Linked DNA regions of Drosophila melanogaster. The gene in region 1 interacts genetically with each later gene. Each region holds a gene or a part of one and is shown in the gene's direction. Other genes may lie near its edges. The genes, in order: dbo and Pak.

Region 1 (7,427 bases):
CTTTATGCTTTGTATTTACATATATTTTATTATTTTTATAGTTTATTATGAACCCACTGGAAGTGTACCGCTTATCATCTAGAGACCCGCCTACCGTTATCATCCTTGCTGCTACTGCCGACGCTAGCAGAGGCAGAGACGGCGGCAGAGGCAGAGGCTGTGACGACAGCGACGGCGTTATTGATCAGTGGTGCGATTTCCATAATATTTATTTAGATATCGGAGCTCCGTTTGTTTATGTAATACACTTTATTGGCTTTACTTTTTGTGTTTGTCTTTTTCGCAAAATATTTTTGTTTGTTTGTTAATTCACATTCGCGTCTCTCTCTGTCTGCACCAGTCTTTCGATACGCTTGTGTGTTTATGTGTGAGAGAGCGCAACTGTGTGTATGTGTGTGAGAGAGCGCAACTGTGTGTGGGTGTACGAATGTGAGTATGTGTGTGTAAGCGTTTTGTCACGTATTTTTACAACGGCGTTGCTTTTGTAGTAAATATGGCTGCCAAGTTTCGAAAATTTCTGCAATCGTCCGCTTTTGTCGCACGAATTTAAATTTCCAATGCAATTTTTGTACTTGTACTCTAGTTATTCCATCGGTTGCATTACATCCTTTTGCTATTGTTCTCTCGATTTTCGCTCTCTTTCCCTCAACATGTTTTGCATTTGCATTTAATTCTGTTGTTGCTATTGCTGTTTTTGTTGCTGTGTCGTCGTTTTTGTTATTGCTATAGTCGTTGTCGTTTTTGTTGTTTGTGTTCCACTCCATCCACAAAATAATTGAGTGCGCTCCACTTTGGTGCGAGGGAGACGGAAAATTCTTCGCACGCACACAGTCTCACGTTTTTCCGTTTTCTTTTCTCGCCCAGTTCACGTACTTTCCACTTTCCAATCTCAAATTATTATTTGCTCACCGAACTTTTTCGCGATCTAAATTGCCTTTATTTACACGTTGCACTTAAAATTAGCTACTATTTTGCACTATTTAACGGGCTTTTCAACTGCTCAAAACTCGCCTTCCTCTTCAGCGTCGCGTATAGAAATAGTATGAAATAAAAAATACCAGCATGCTGCTCACTAAGATACCAAAATATACCGTTTCTTTAGCGACCAGGGAAGCCAAATACAGTTGGCTCTGTGATAAATGTACTCTTACAAAGCCTGTCTTACGTTATTTGCTTATTTTTTCGGGAATATTAAAAGACAGTTTACTAATGAAAATTTTAAGAGATTATTATAATGATTTCAATAATTCACAGTTAGATTCCCTTCCGTTGCACTTACTTGTAGTTGTATACAAATAGTGTTTATTTTATTTTTAATTATTTAAAAATATGTGATCTCTTATTTTAATTTCGAAAAAAAATGTGAAGAGATATTTCAAACAGATCTCCTTAAAATTAGCTTACGTTTACGATTTAATAACAATATCGATATAACGAAATGTCCACCAAAGTATCACAATATAAATAAGTGTATTCTCAAAAATATCGATACACTGATATTGTTATGCATTTCTCACATCTCTATCGCCATACCAATCGTTTCGTGTTTCGACTTTTCCAGGCCAACCAAAAAACGATTTTTCCGTACTGAAAAGTGCAATTCGCGCAAGGAAAATCTTCGATGTGGTCCTTTTAAGCCATCAAGATTGCATTTTCGAAATTTTCCGCCTGCAGCTGGCCCTGGACGTGCTTTGTATCCGTAGAGAACAGAGACGCAAAGGTTGGGACACCAACATATACATCGAAATCTAAACCAACATCATCCGCGTGTGTGTGTGTGTGGTGTGTGCTTGTGGGTGGACCAGGTTACCTTTCAGTTTTAAGGTGTTCCATGGAGTGAATGTTGTAAAAGCGATTGAACATATATCACATGAATAAAAGAGATTTCAGTTTTAATTAAATTAGGTTGAAGATAATTCCACAAGCATATTATTGAACTAGAGAACTGTTTATCTTAACCATCGATTAACTCAACCTGCCAATTTGTTTACCAATTAAAGTACATGTTTTAATTTTAAAACTTAGCTATTTTAAGATTCAAAACAGAAGTTTCAAGTAACGATCTTTTAGCTTAAAGTTTCTAAATATTTAAGGATTATTAATATTTATTTTATATCATTTATACGAATGGTGGATTGTTAAACTTAACGTGTTGAATGAATACCTTAAATAACACTCGTATTAGTGTTAAGATGTTTCTTTAGTCGAAAGGTCCACCTTAGTATCCGCAGATCCGAAGTTGTGAATGTGTGCGTGTTACACAGCATGTCTGTGTGTGGGTGGTGCAAAAGGGCGGAGGACAAGAAAAATAAATCAGAATTTCCACATCCAGTGCCCAGAATATGAATTATTTGCATCAAAAATGTACAATTACTTAATTTATTAAGTAAACAGTCGCTTCAAGAAGATATTAAACGAAGCACAATGTCCTTGTAAATTGATTAGTTACTTACTTACTTATAATCGAGTTCAATGCCGCCCTTCTACGCCCTACCTACGCATTGATTTAATTTACTTTGACTTGACCATTAATCACTATTCTACTATATACTACCATTTCTGCCCACAGATAGACGCCGTGTGGGGTTGGGTTGCTTCCGGCCCGCTGCGCTTAGCAGCGAACAGAATGGGCGACCTGCCGGGCTCGGGCTCCACCGCTCAACCACGGGATGCTGGTAAGGATTTGATAGGAGCTTGGTTTGGAATTGGGAAGAGAGCAAGCCAGGGGCAACCTGTGTGCCTCATGTGACTTTAAATACTTCATATTTGTTCGTAAGACTATGATCTTTCAGCTAAAAAATACTATTAGAAAAGGTTTTTCCTTCATAAAAAAGTATTTGAACTCTCATTCACAATTCCAATTAATCGGTACCATTAAGTTTATTTGTACTATTCCAAACATATGGTATTTTTATACTCAAAATCATTATGTATGCCAACAGCTGTCACCGGTACCGGTGGTAATTCCACGGCTGGTGGCGGCTCCTCCGTTGGATCTACGGCAGTGGACCGACCTCCGTCGCCCGCCCGCCTCTCTCACACGTCCGAGAAACATCCGAAGGTCACGCTCACTGAACTAAATATGCTACGGCGCCATCGGGAGCTCTGCGATGTGGTGCTCAACGTGGGCGGACGGAAGATCTTTGCCCACCGGGTAATCCTGTCCGCCTGCAGCTCCTACTTCTGTGCCATGTTCACTGGCGAATTGGAGGAATCGCGCCAGACTGAGGTCACCATACGCGACATCGATGAGAATGCCATGGAGCTGCTCATCGACTTTTGTTACACCGCCCACATAATCGTCGAGGAGTCGAATGTCCAGACCCTCCTTCCCGCCGCCTGCCTGCTTCAACTGGTTGAGATTCAGGACATCTGCTGCGAGTTCCTCAAACGGCAATTGGATCCCACCAACTGCCTGGGCATACGCGCCTTTGCCGACACACACTCCTGCCGGGAACTTCTACGGATCGCCGACAAATTCACGCAGCACAACTTCCAGGAGGTGATGGAGAGCGAGGAGTTTCTGCTGCTCCCCGTCGGCCAGCTGGTGGACATCATTTGCAGCGACGAGCTAAACGTGCGCTCCGAGGAGCAGGTCTTCAACGCGGTCATGTCCTGGCTCAAGTACAATGTCGCCGAGCGGCGACAACATCTGGCACAGGTGAGCTACTGTAAACCATATCTGATTACTACTCACCGATTCCTACTTGTTCCGTTTGATAATTACTTTGGAATAATATAAACAGCTCAATTTTTAAGTATTGCAACTAATAAATAAATAATGAATTGATATTTTCGAATATTCTCAGGTGCTCCAACACGTCCGTCTGCCTCTGCTGTCGCCAAAGTTCCTGGTTGGCACGGTGGGCTCTGATCTCCTGGTGCGCAGCGACGAGGCCTGCCGGGATTTGGTGGATGAGGCTAAGAACTATCTGTTGCTTCCGCAGGAGCGACCGCTGATGCAGGGTCCACGCACCAGACCGCGAAAGCCAACTCGACGAGGCGAAGTCCTGTTCGCCGTGGGCGGTTGGTGTTCCGGCGATGCTATTGCCTCCGTGGAGCGTTTCGATCCTCAGACCAACGACTGGAAAATGGTCGCTCCCATGAGCAAACGACGCTGCGGAGTTGGCGTGGCCGTGTTAAATGATCTACTTTACGCCGTGGGCGGTCACGATGGCCAGAGCTATCTGAATAGCATCGAGCGTTATGATCCACAAACGAATCAATGGTCCTGCGACGTTGCGCCCACCACTTCCTGCCGCACCAGCGTCGGCGTGGCTGTGCTCGACGGCTTCTTGTACGCGGTGGGTGGCCAGGATGGCGTTCAATGTTTGAACCACGTGGAGCGCTACGATCCAAAAGAGAACAAATGGTCGAAAGTGGCACCGATGACAACAAGGCGACTGGGAGTGGCGGTAGCCGTGCTTGGAGGATTTCTCTACGCAATTGGCGGCTCCGATGGACAGTGCCCGTTGAACACCGTAGAGCGATATGATCCCAGGTAAATCATAAATAAAGCATTTAAAAGCTTTAGACGTACAAGTACATTTTCTATCGCTTGTAACAAATGACCTTAATGTACATTGCACTTGAACGTAGTATTTGTTTGATTTACATTGCCCCGATTTTATCATTACAGACACAACAAATGGGTAGCAGTCAGCCCGATGTCAACGCGACGCAAGCACCTGGGCTGTGCTGTGTTCAATAACTACATTTACGCCGTCGGCGGGCGAGACGATTGCATGGAGCTCTCGTCCGCCGAGCGCTACAATCCACTGACCAATACCTGGAGCCCCATCGTGGCCATGACCTCCCGCCGCAGTGGGGTGAGTTTTTGTTACACTTTTTCTCGGCGAATAGTATTGTATTAAATGAAATCGCACCATTTTAGGTTGGCCTGGCCGTCGTCAATGGACAGCTGTATGCTGTGGGCGGCTTTGATGGTTCCGCCTATTTGAAAACCATCGAGGTCTACGACCCAGAGACGAACCAATGGCGTTTGTGCGGCTGCATGAACTACCGCCGACTGGGCGGCGGCGTGGGCGTTATGCGTGCCCCTCAGACTGAGAACTATATGTGGTGCGAAAATAGTTTTAAGCAACCGAATTCCTGAAACTAACTCAACTCCCATCCCTTCCATTGCTGATGAAATGTTGTCTTGTCTCTCTTTTCCCCCCGAAAACATGCTAACAAATTCAGGATACGGAAAGATTCTGTTGTCTGATGGGAACAGCAGCCGACAACGTTGCCCTCGCAAACGTTGCCGCCGCCGCACTTCTACTAACAATATCCGCAATCGAAGCCAAATCTAATCGACTAAACAAAACATCTTTTCGCCCCATTGTCTACTAGCAGTGTAATCGCTTTGTATTAATTGTTAATTGTTTATTTGGTAGAGCCTAAAGCGCATGTTTGTTAGACTTTTCCGGAATAGTATTAGAGTTAGCATTGTTCCCACGTTCACCTGCAATAACACATCCCCATCACTCCTGTGCGTAATTATATATGATTCTACTGTATGTTAAGCAAGTATATTTTATAAATAACTTAATATCTAAATGTTGCCGGTGGTATTTCATGGAAATCGCTAGCTCATAACCATGCCTTCTTTCGAAAAAAACAAAACAAAATCAAATATTAACCTAGAAACGAATTCGATTAGTTGTAAATCCTTAAACGAAGAGCTCTAAAGTCAAGTAACAAATTGGTATTAAAATAATTTAGATTTAAGGAGTGAATTCAAGAAAGTTTGTCCGAAATTAAACATCACAATGGTGCAATATTTCGATCGACCAACTAAACGCTGTTGTTTAGTCAAGTACACTTTAAATCTTTGCAAACGTCTTCAATAATACCACGACTATATGAAGTGAACCGAATAATTGCAAAGAATTTAAAAAAATAATGAATATTCAGCCTGTCAAGCTTAAAAAAAAACCATTAAGGTAATCACACACACACACAATGAAGAAGTTAGACCTAGCCCAAGATAATTCAATAGTAACAATTAACAATTACGCAGCCGTAAGATCAACTTTAAGGTAATAAATTTTAATATTGTTAATCCTAGATCGTGTAAACCGGTAAGAGTTTTCGGCCGGAATCAGGTCAAGTTTTAAGATGACTTATTGTTAAACCAAGTTTGACCATCGAGCTGAATGAACCAACTCGAATTAATCGCTTAGATAAGGGAGTTAAAACACAAGTAGACTCTCAATAACAACACATTTTCTTTGTTGCCTTTTACACCAACACTATTAAACAATTATTTATTCAAAATTATTATTTATTACACGCTTTCGTATCTCATTTAGTTTATTTTAGGTGCACATTTATAAACTGTTGTTAAATCGAGCAAAAAGGAATGATCTTTGCTTCCAAATGATGAATAAGAATAGCATTTATAAAAAACCAAGCTTATTTATATTATAGCTTTAAGTCAAAATGGTCAACAATTATACAAAAATTCGCATACCACCCATTATGCGTAGTTAAAAAATAACATTTCCTAGTTGTGTTGAGTGGTAAAAGTGCTTAACGCAAATAATAGAAGTGTTAACCTAAGAAATGATCGTAAACCCGTGCTATGTATAAGAATATATAAAAATAAAAATATATCAAAATTAAGACACTTTGTTTCATTCAATACATTACAGCCAAGGGCGGAAATTGCTGCCAAAAAATAATTAAAAATAAATATCCAAGTGTACTATTTTGTATTATATTCTATAATTTATAAATTTGTAATGCAATCAATGTACCGTTACGCGGTACTGGTACGCATCGGTACAATAGTTACGATATTGGATCCTTTACCGATAGCCGATGCTCGAACCCGATTGTTTTTGTTTTAGGCCTTAATTCGCACACACTGATTTGGTGGCACTACACACATTTTGTTATTTTAAACATTTTTCAAGAAGTCAATATTATGATAACAATTTTATGAAAATAATTGAACTAAATGCATTCGGAACATTTCGATATACACTGCCGACCAGTGTGAACGCTTCGCGACGTGGAGAAACTTCAGGCACGTCAGCTATCGATAAATTAAAATGTGTATTCGATTAGCGTACGTTAAACAGCTGTTTATTCTGGCGCTCTTTCATACGTTCGCTGAAATAGTTTTGTATTTCTGGCCGGAAATGATGTCCCAAATTCCGGATTTGGCCGGCGGAAATGGGCAACAGAAGCGAAAGATTCTGAGCGGCGGCGAATACAATAAGATTTGCCGGTTTATCAACGGCTTCCACGGCTTGGCCATCGACTGCGAGTTCGAGTTGAGGAATCGCTTCTTCAGGGACGTGGAGCCAATGGCATTGACATGCATCCTGCAGTCGGAGCTTTTTAACCGGTCGCGTGGTCACTGGAAGCAGGATCAGCGCGGGAAAAGGCTTCTCAAAGCGTAAGGCCACAATCTC
Region 2 (4,851 bases), on another chromosome or scaffold:
CGTGCGGCGCGGGAGCAGCTACGCCTGCATCGCTCTGGTCGGGAACTGTGTGGTGGACAAGGCGCGGCGGAACTGGTGTCCCTCCTGCCGCTTCCAGCGATGCCTGGCCGTGGGAATGAACGCTGCTGCGGTTCAGGAGGAGCGCGGTCCGCGCAACCAGCAGGTGGCTCTCTACCGCACTGGCCGGAGACAAGCTCCGCCATCTCAGGCGGCGCCATCCCCGACGCCCCACTCCCAGGCGCTGCACTTCCAGATCCTCGCCCAGATCCTTGTCACGTGCCTGCGCCAGGCGAAGGCCAACGAGCAGTTCGCTCTGTTGGATCGCTGCCAACAAGACGCCATCTTTCAGGTGGTGTGGAGCGAGATCTTCGTCCTGCGAGCGTCCCACTGGTCTCTGGACATCAGCGCCATGATCGACGGCTGCGGCGATGAGCAGCTCAAACGGCTCATTTGCGAGGCCCACCAGCTAAGGGCCGACGTCCTGGAACTCAACTTTATGGAGTCCCTAATCCTGTGCAGAAAAGGTAAAGCTCCGCCTGTGCGGTAAAAAGGCTTGTTAGGATTTAAAAATAAAAGCGGTTTGAAGCCATCTAACCAATTTTCAATGTTTTTACACATATTGACGTGATTTCTTAGACGAAAATTTAAATCCTATGTACGCTATGTATAGATTTTGCTATTTGATTCTGCATGAAAGAGTACACCCAAGCAGTTTTCTTAACCCCAGAAAAAACGTTTCCGTTTTGGGCTTAATAAATTCAAAAGAAAATTTTCCAGCATGTGCAGTTGGTTTGTTTGAACCAACCATAAAATTTGATTAGATTCAAGATTAGAGACAGATTTAAGACCTTTTACATCGTTTTAATTTAATTAAGAGTTTAATAGGAAGTCAAACCACCATTAGTATATCCCATTTTAATACTTTTAATTGCTTATATCGATTGCATGTTTTTACAGAATTGGCCATCAATGCGGAGTATGCCGTTATCCTGGGAAGCCACTCTAAAGCCGCCCTGATCTCCTTAGCCCGCTACACCCTGCAGCAATCCAACTACCTGCGGTTCGGACAACTGCTCCTTGGTCTGAGGCAGCTGTGCCTGAGGCGCTTCGACTGCGCGCTTTCTTGTATGTTTCGCAGCGTGGTCAGGGACATCTTAAAAACACTTTAGGCTCATATCTATCTTCATCTTTCAAAATTAAAGAAAAACCTAGTCTTAAAGAGGGTACTAGATAATGGCTGTTTTTCTGTTCGCCAGTTCAAACATCTAAAGTAACTTCGCTATCTGAAGTTTCAACCCATATCTAAAAATGCATTCATTTCTGTCAACAATCGTTCATGGAGGCATTTAGACACGCCCCAAACTTTATTGGCACTATGCAATTTGTTGGAAATAAAAATATTTGGAACAAAGAGATTATTATGAACTCAAAATTTGATGTGGTATTTTTTGAAAAACACTTTTTCAAAGGTCGCCAATCACAATACAAAAAACTCATCGATATGTTGTGAAAAGTCACGGAGCGAATATATTCGTTTCTGTTCGCTATCGATATATTGATATATTTTTGCCATCGCTACATTGTCTGCTGCGGCCGTCTTGTCGTCTTTCTGTAATTATTTTTCGTAGTTAACAAACCCCTGAATAATGTAAACCAATTAGTGGGTGATGCAAGGACCGAAAATGCGCGCGCGTTGCTAAAGAAGCTAGAAAGCGAGAAAGTTTGCGGAGCGCCATAAGATTGCTGCGCTTTAACTGCTGCTGGTGCCTCTCGTCCGTCGGCCATTTATGACACACACCAGAGAAAACTGGAAAACAATACAGTGTGTGTGCGGTTTGGAGTGTGTGCGAGTGCGGCCAAGTGTTGTGGGCTCGGAAAACTCCAAGAAGCCAGTGGAGAAGTGGTGTCCACGCGAATCCGTGAATCGCAAGCGTTTCTTCTTCGACTGCAAGCGGCGTACAGGGTGCACCGTGCAAAAGAAAGGCAGCCAAGGCATATTGTACTTGCAGTGAGTTCAAGTGGAGAGTGGTGGCCGAGTGGAGCGGGTAGAATGGTCTTGTGGAGAGCGGGGCGAGGGAGTTTCATTCATAAAAAGAGAGTGCACCGTTAGTCCAATTGGTCTGGCTTCCAATGCACAGACAAGCACACACACACCGCCTAAGGAGAGGTTGCACACATTGATTTTTCCAACTCACGTGTGTGTGTGTGCGTGTATGTGGATTAAAGGAAAACGTTTCAAGTGGTTTCCACGCCACATTATTTTGGATTAGCACATTGCTGCTCCCGAATTTCCAGCCCAAAAATAAAGCAACCAAATGTCAACAAGCTGGAATGCCCCAATGCCCCTTCCCCCGCTATTAACACACGTGACACGATACAAGACATTTACATAAAGCTCTAATAACTAACAACATTTCGCAGTCGATTTGGCATTTAACAGTTACCGCTCTAACGGCACATGTCCAGTGCGCCAGTGCACCACCCCCTTCCTTCGTTCAACGAAAAACATATTTGCTTAGCACGGTCACAGGTAAAAGCGGAAGGGACAGGGACGCGCGGAAGCGGTCGCGGTAGGGAACTGAAAAGAGGAATATAAAAGGCATAACATTTCCGCCTGCTGCTTTCGGCTGGCGTCCGCAACCAAAATAGACAACGTCGGAGCGGCTGAGAGTCTCCGTCGCCAGCAGTTATGCGTGGCAACTCGCTAAATATGCACCGACCATAATCATCGTATCATTTTTAATGCTTACATTTTGTATATTGATACTAAGATAACTTACTTAAAGTCTTCGGACAGCAGAAGGTGATCTTCGTCATGTTTTGGCTTCATATTTATACAGCAATCCTCGGAAAAATTGCGTAAAATGAATTCCATGAATAAATTCTTAAGTTTAGTTTTAATAGAAAGTTAACATAAAGCAGTCGTCAAAGTAATCAAGAAGCTTGATCACAAACTTTGGCTCCGCGTAAACGTGGCGAAGAAGTATGCATATGTTTGTGGCTTCTTTCAGCTCTTGGAGCGAGCGCCACGTTTGCGTCGCTGTTGTTGCAACATGCACCTAGGCCTGCGTCACTTTGAATGTCCTACCCTCCTCCCTTCCGCTCCCCTGCGTTTGACAACCCCTGTCGCTAATTTAAATGCCGCAAGTGTTGTCGAGTTTCCTGTGCCTACAATGTGTGTTTTTCTCATTAGGGAATAATTTTGCATGGGCCCCTGCAGAAAGAAAAACATTTTTTATCGATTTTACCTAAAGTTCGACCGTCAATGAAATCAAACACAATGCGGTACATCGTTAACCCAGTTCTGGGCGCCCACACGCTCCCGAAAAGTTTGTTCTTGCTTGATTTAAAAACGAATTTTCACCTATGTGTGTATGTTTGCATGCATATTATATGTACATACATATATACGTTTATAGATCTCTGGGCAAGCAGCCAGTAAACCAACGTATGCCCATAAAGCCTATAGTACAGATATACAGTTGCGGTCAAGAATATATCACACAGCAAGTTTACTACTTTCTATTTGTCGATACTCCTTTACTTTTTATCTTAAATTCAGTATGTATCGACATACATACATATGTAATTGAAATCAACGAGCGTATCTATTGAGTAAACAATCTACTTACATCGGTGAATTTAAAAACAATTAGCAAGAAAACATTGCACTTGATAAATTGGGGTAGAAAGGTAATGTCGGAATGAACCGCATGACACATAATGATTTGGGTATTTTATCCTATGATTCTCTTATATACTTATGTACACATATATGTACATATATTGGTCACTAAGAACCCTTTTTTCTGATGATTCAAAAGTTGGAGTTGATATCTTATTAGATCCCCGCTATGCTATTAAGTTGACCACAGCTGTTGGAACTGTATGTTAATGTTTGTCCAACGTTTTCACACTTCGCCACCCCCTCGTCCCAGACTCTCCGCCTCCCGTTAGCTGCATTGACTCTTGACGCCTGACGATGATAAATGAATCATAAAAGCAGCGCAGTCGACGTCGCCGGCAAAGCAGACAGGCGCCAAAGCCGCCTTGCTCTCCTCGCCACTCTGCGCTCCCACTCCTTTTCGCCCTCTCGCTCATATGTTTGGCTGCGATGCCGCCCACTCGAGTGTGTTTATGTTGTTGCTGTCCTCGCTGCTTAATTTCCTCATTTGTGTTGCTGTAATTCCCAATGCGTGAGCTGCTTTGTTTTTATTATGAGTGCAATCGAAGCCACTCTTGTTATCGCAACGAATTTTTTATGGCTCTCGATCGTTTACGTGGGCGAGAGCGGAGCAACTGAGGTAGAGAGGATACCCTTAAAGTGTGTTGTGTGAGAACAGTGGTTTGCGTCTAATGGAAACTGAAATTAAAATATAGTCCTTTAATGATTATTCCATTTTGGGTCATATTTTTTAACTCCATATGCTCTATAGGTGCTCCAATGAATATTTAAAATAAATGAACTAAAAGTGAATAGATGTGGGTATACAATTATGATCAATGCACACTTAACTTAAATAGGATAATATTTTAAGTTCCTCACATAGATGCGCAATAATTGCTGAATTGAAATGTATAGTCTCAACTAATTTATAAAATTAGCTTCGGAGAGTATACAAAATTCGAATACCCATATCAATCAGCTTTTAAGCAATGTAGGGGAGGCACTCTCGCGAGCTGGGGTGCTCGAGACAATCTCTTGGAGCGATGTATGTTGTTTGTTGCCTTTTGCAGCCTGCTCTAGTGGCAGTGACACTCGAAGGTGGGAGACACGCTGACGGAACAACTGAGCAGCGGGCCCACAGTCCGAATTAGTTCGCCGGACGGCCTATATTGATAAATTTATAA

What was found.
Region 2: of dbo (region 1) and Pak, changing one suppresses a phenotype caused by changing the other (phenotypic suppression), as found in Drosophila melanogaster (one study listed by BioGRID).

Annotation. Positions count from the first base shown.
Region 1 is NT_037436.4:15,825,377-15,832,803, forward strand, and holds dbo (diablo), read left to right. Parts: upstream 1-1,511; 5' UTR 1,512-1,720; intron 1,721-2,569; 5' UTR 2,570-2,626; coding exon 2,627-2,675; intron 2,676-2,942; coding exon 2,943-3,661; intron 3,662-3,809; coding exon 3,810-4,501; intron 4,502-4,639; coding exon 4,640-4,829; intron 4,830-4,894; coding exon 4,895-5,116; 3' UTR 5,117-5,202; coding exon of another isoform or gene 5,203-5,227; 3' UTR 5,228-6,628; downstream 6,629-7,427. Other genes in the region: DCP2 (decapping protein 2), read right to left, coding at 95-203; CG12713 (uncharacterized protein), read left to right, coding at 7,152-7,411. UniProt on the Drosophila melanogaster protein: Probable substrate-specific adapter of an E3 ubiquitin-protein ligase complex which mediates the ubiquitination and subsequent proteasomal degradation of target proteins. May have a role in synapse differentiation and growth.
Region 2 is NT_033777.3:6,349,344-6,354,194, forward strand, and holds the start of Pak (p21-activated kinase), read left to right. Parts: upstream 1-1,552; 5' UTR 1,553-2,008; intron 2,009-3,779; exon of another isoform or gene 3,780-4,196; intron 4,197-4,744; exon of another isoform or gene 4,745-4,851. Other genes in the region: Hr83 (hormone receptor 83), read left to right, coding at 1-524, 958-1,169.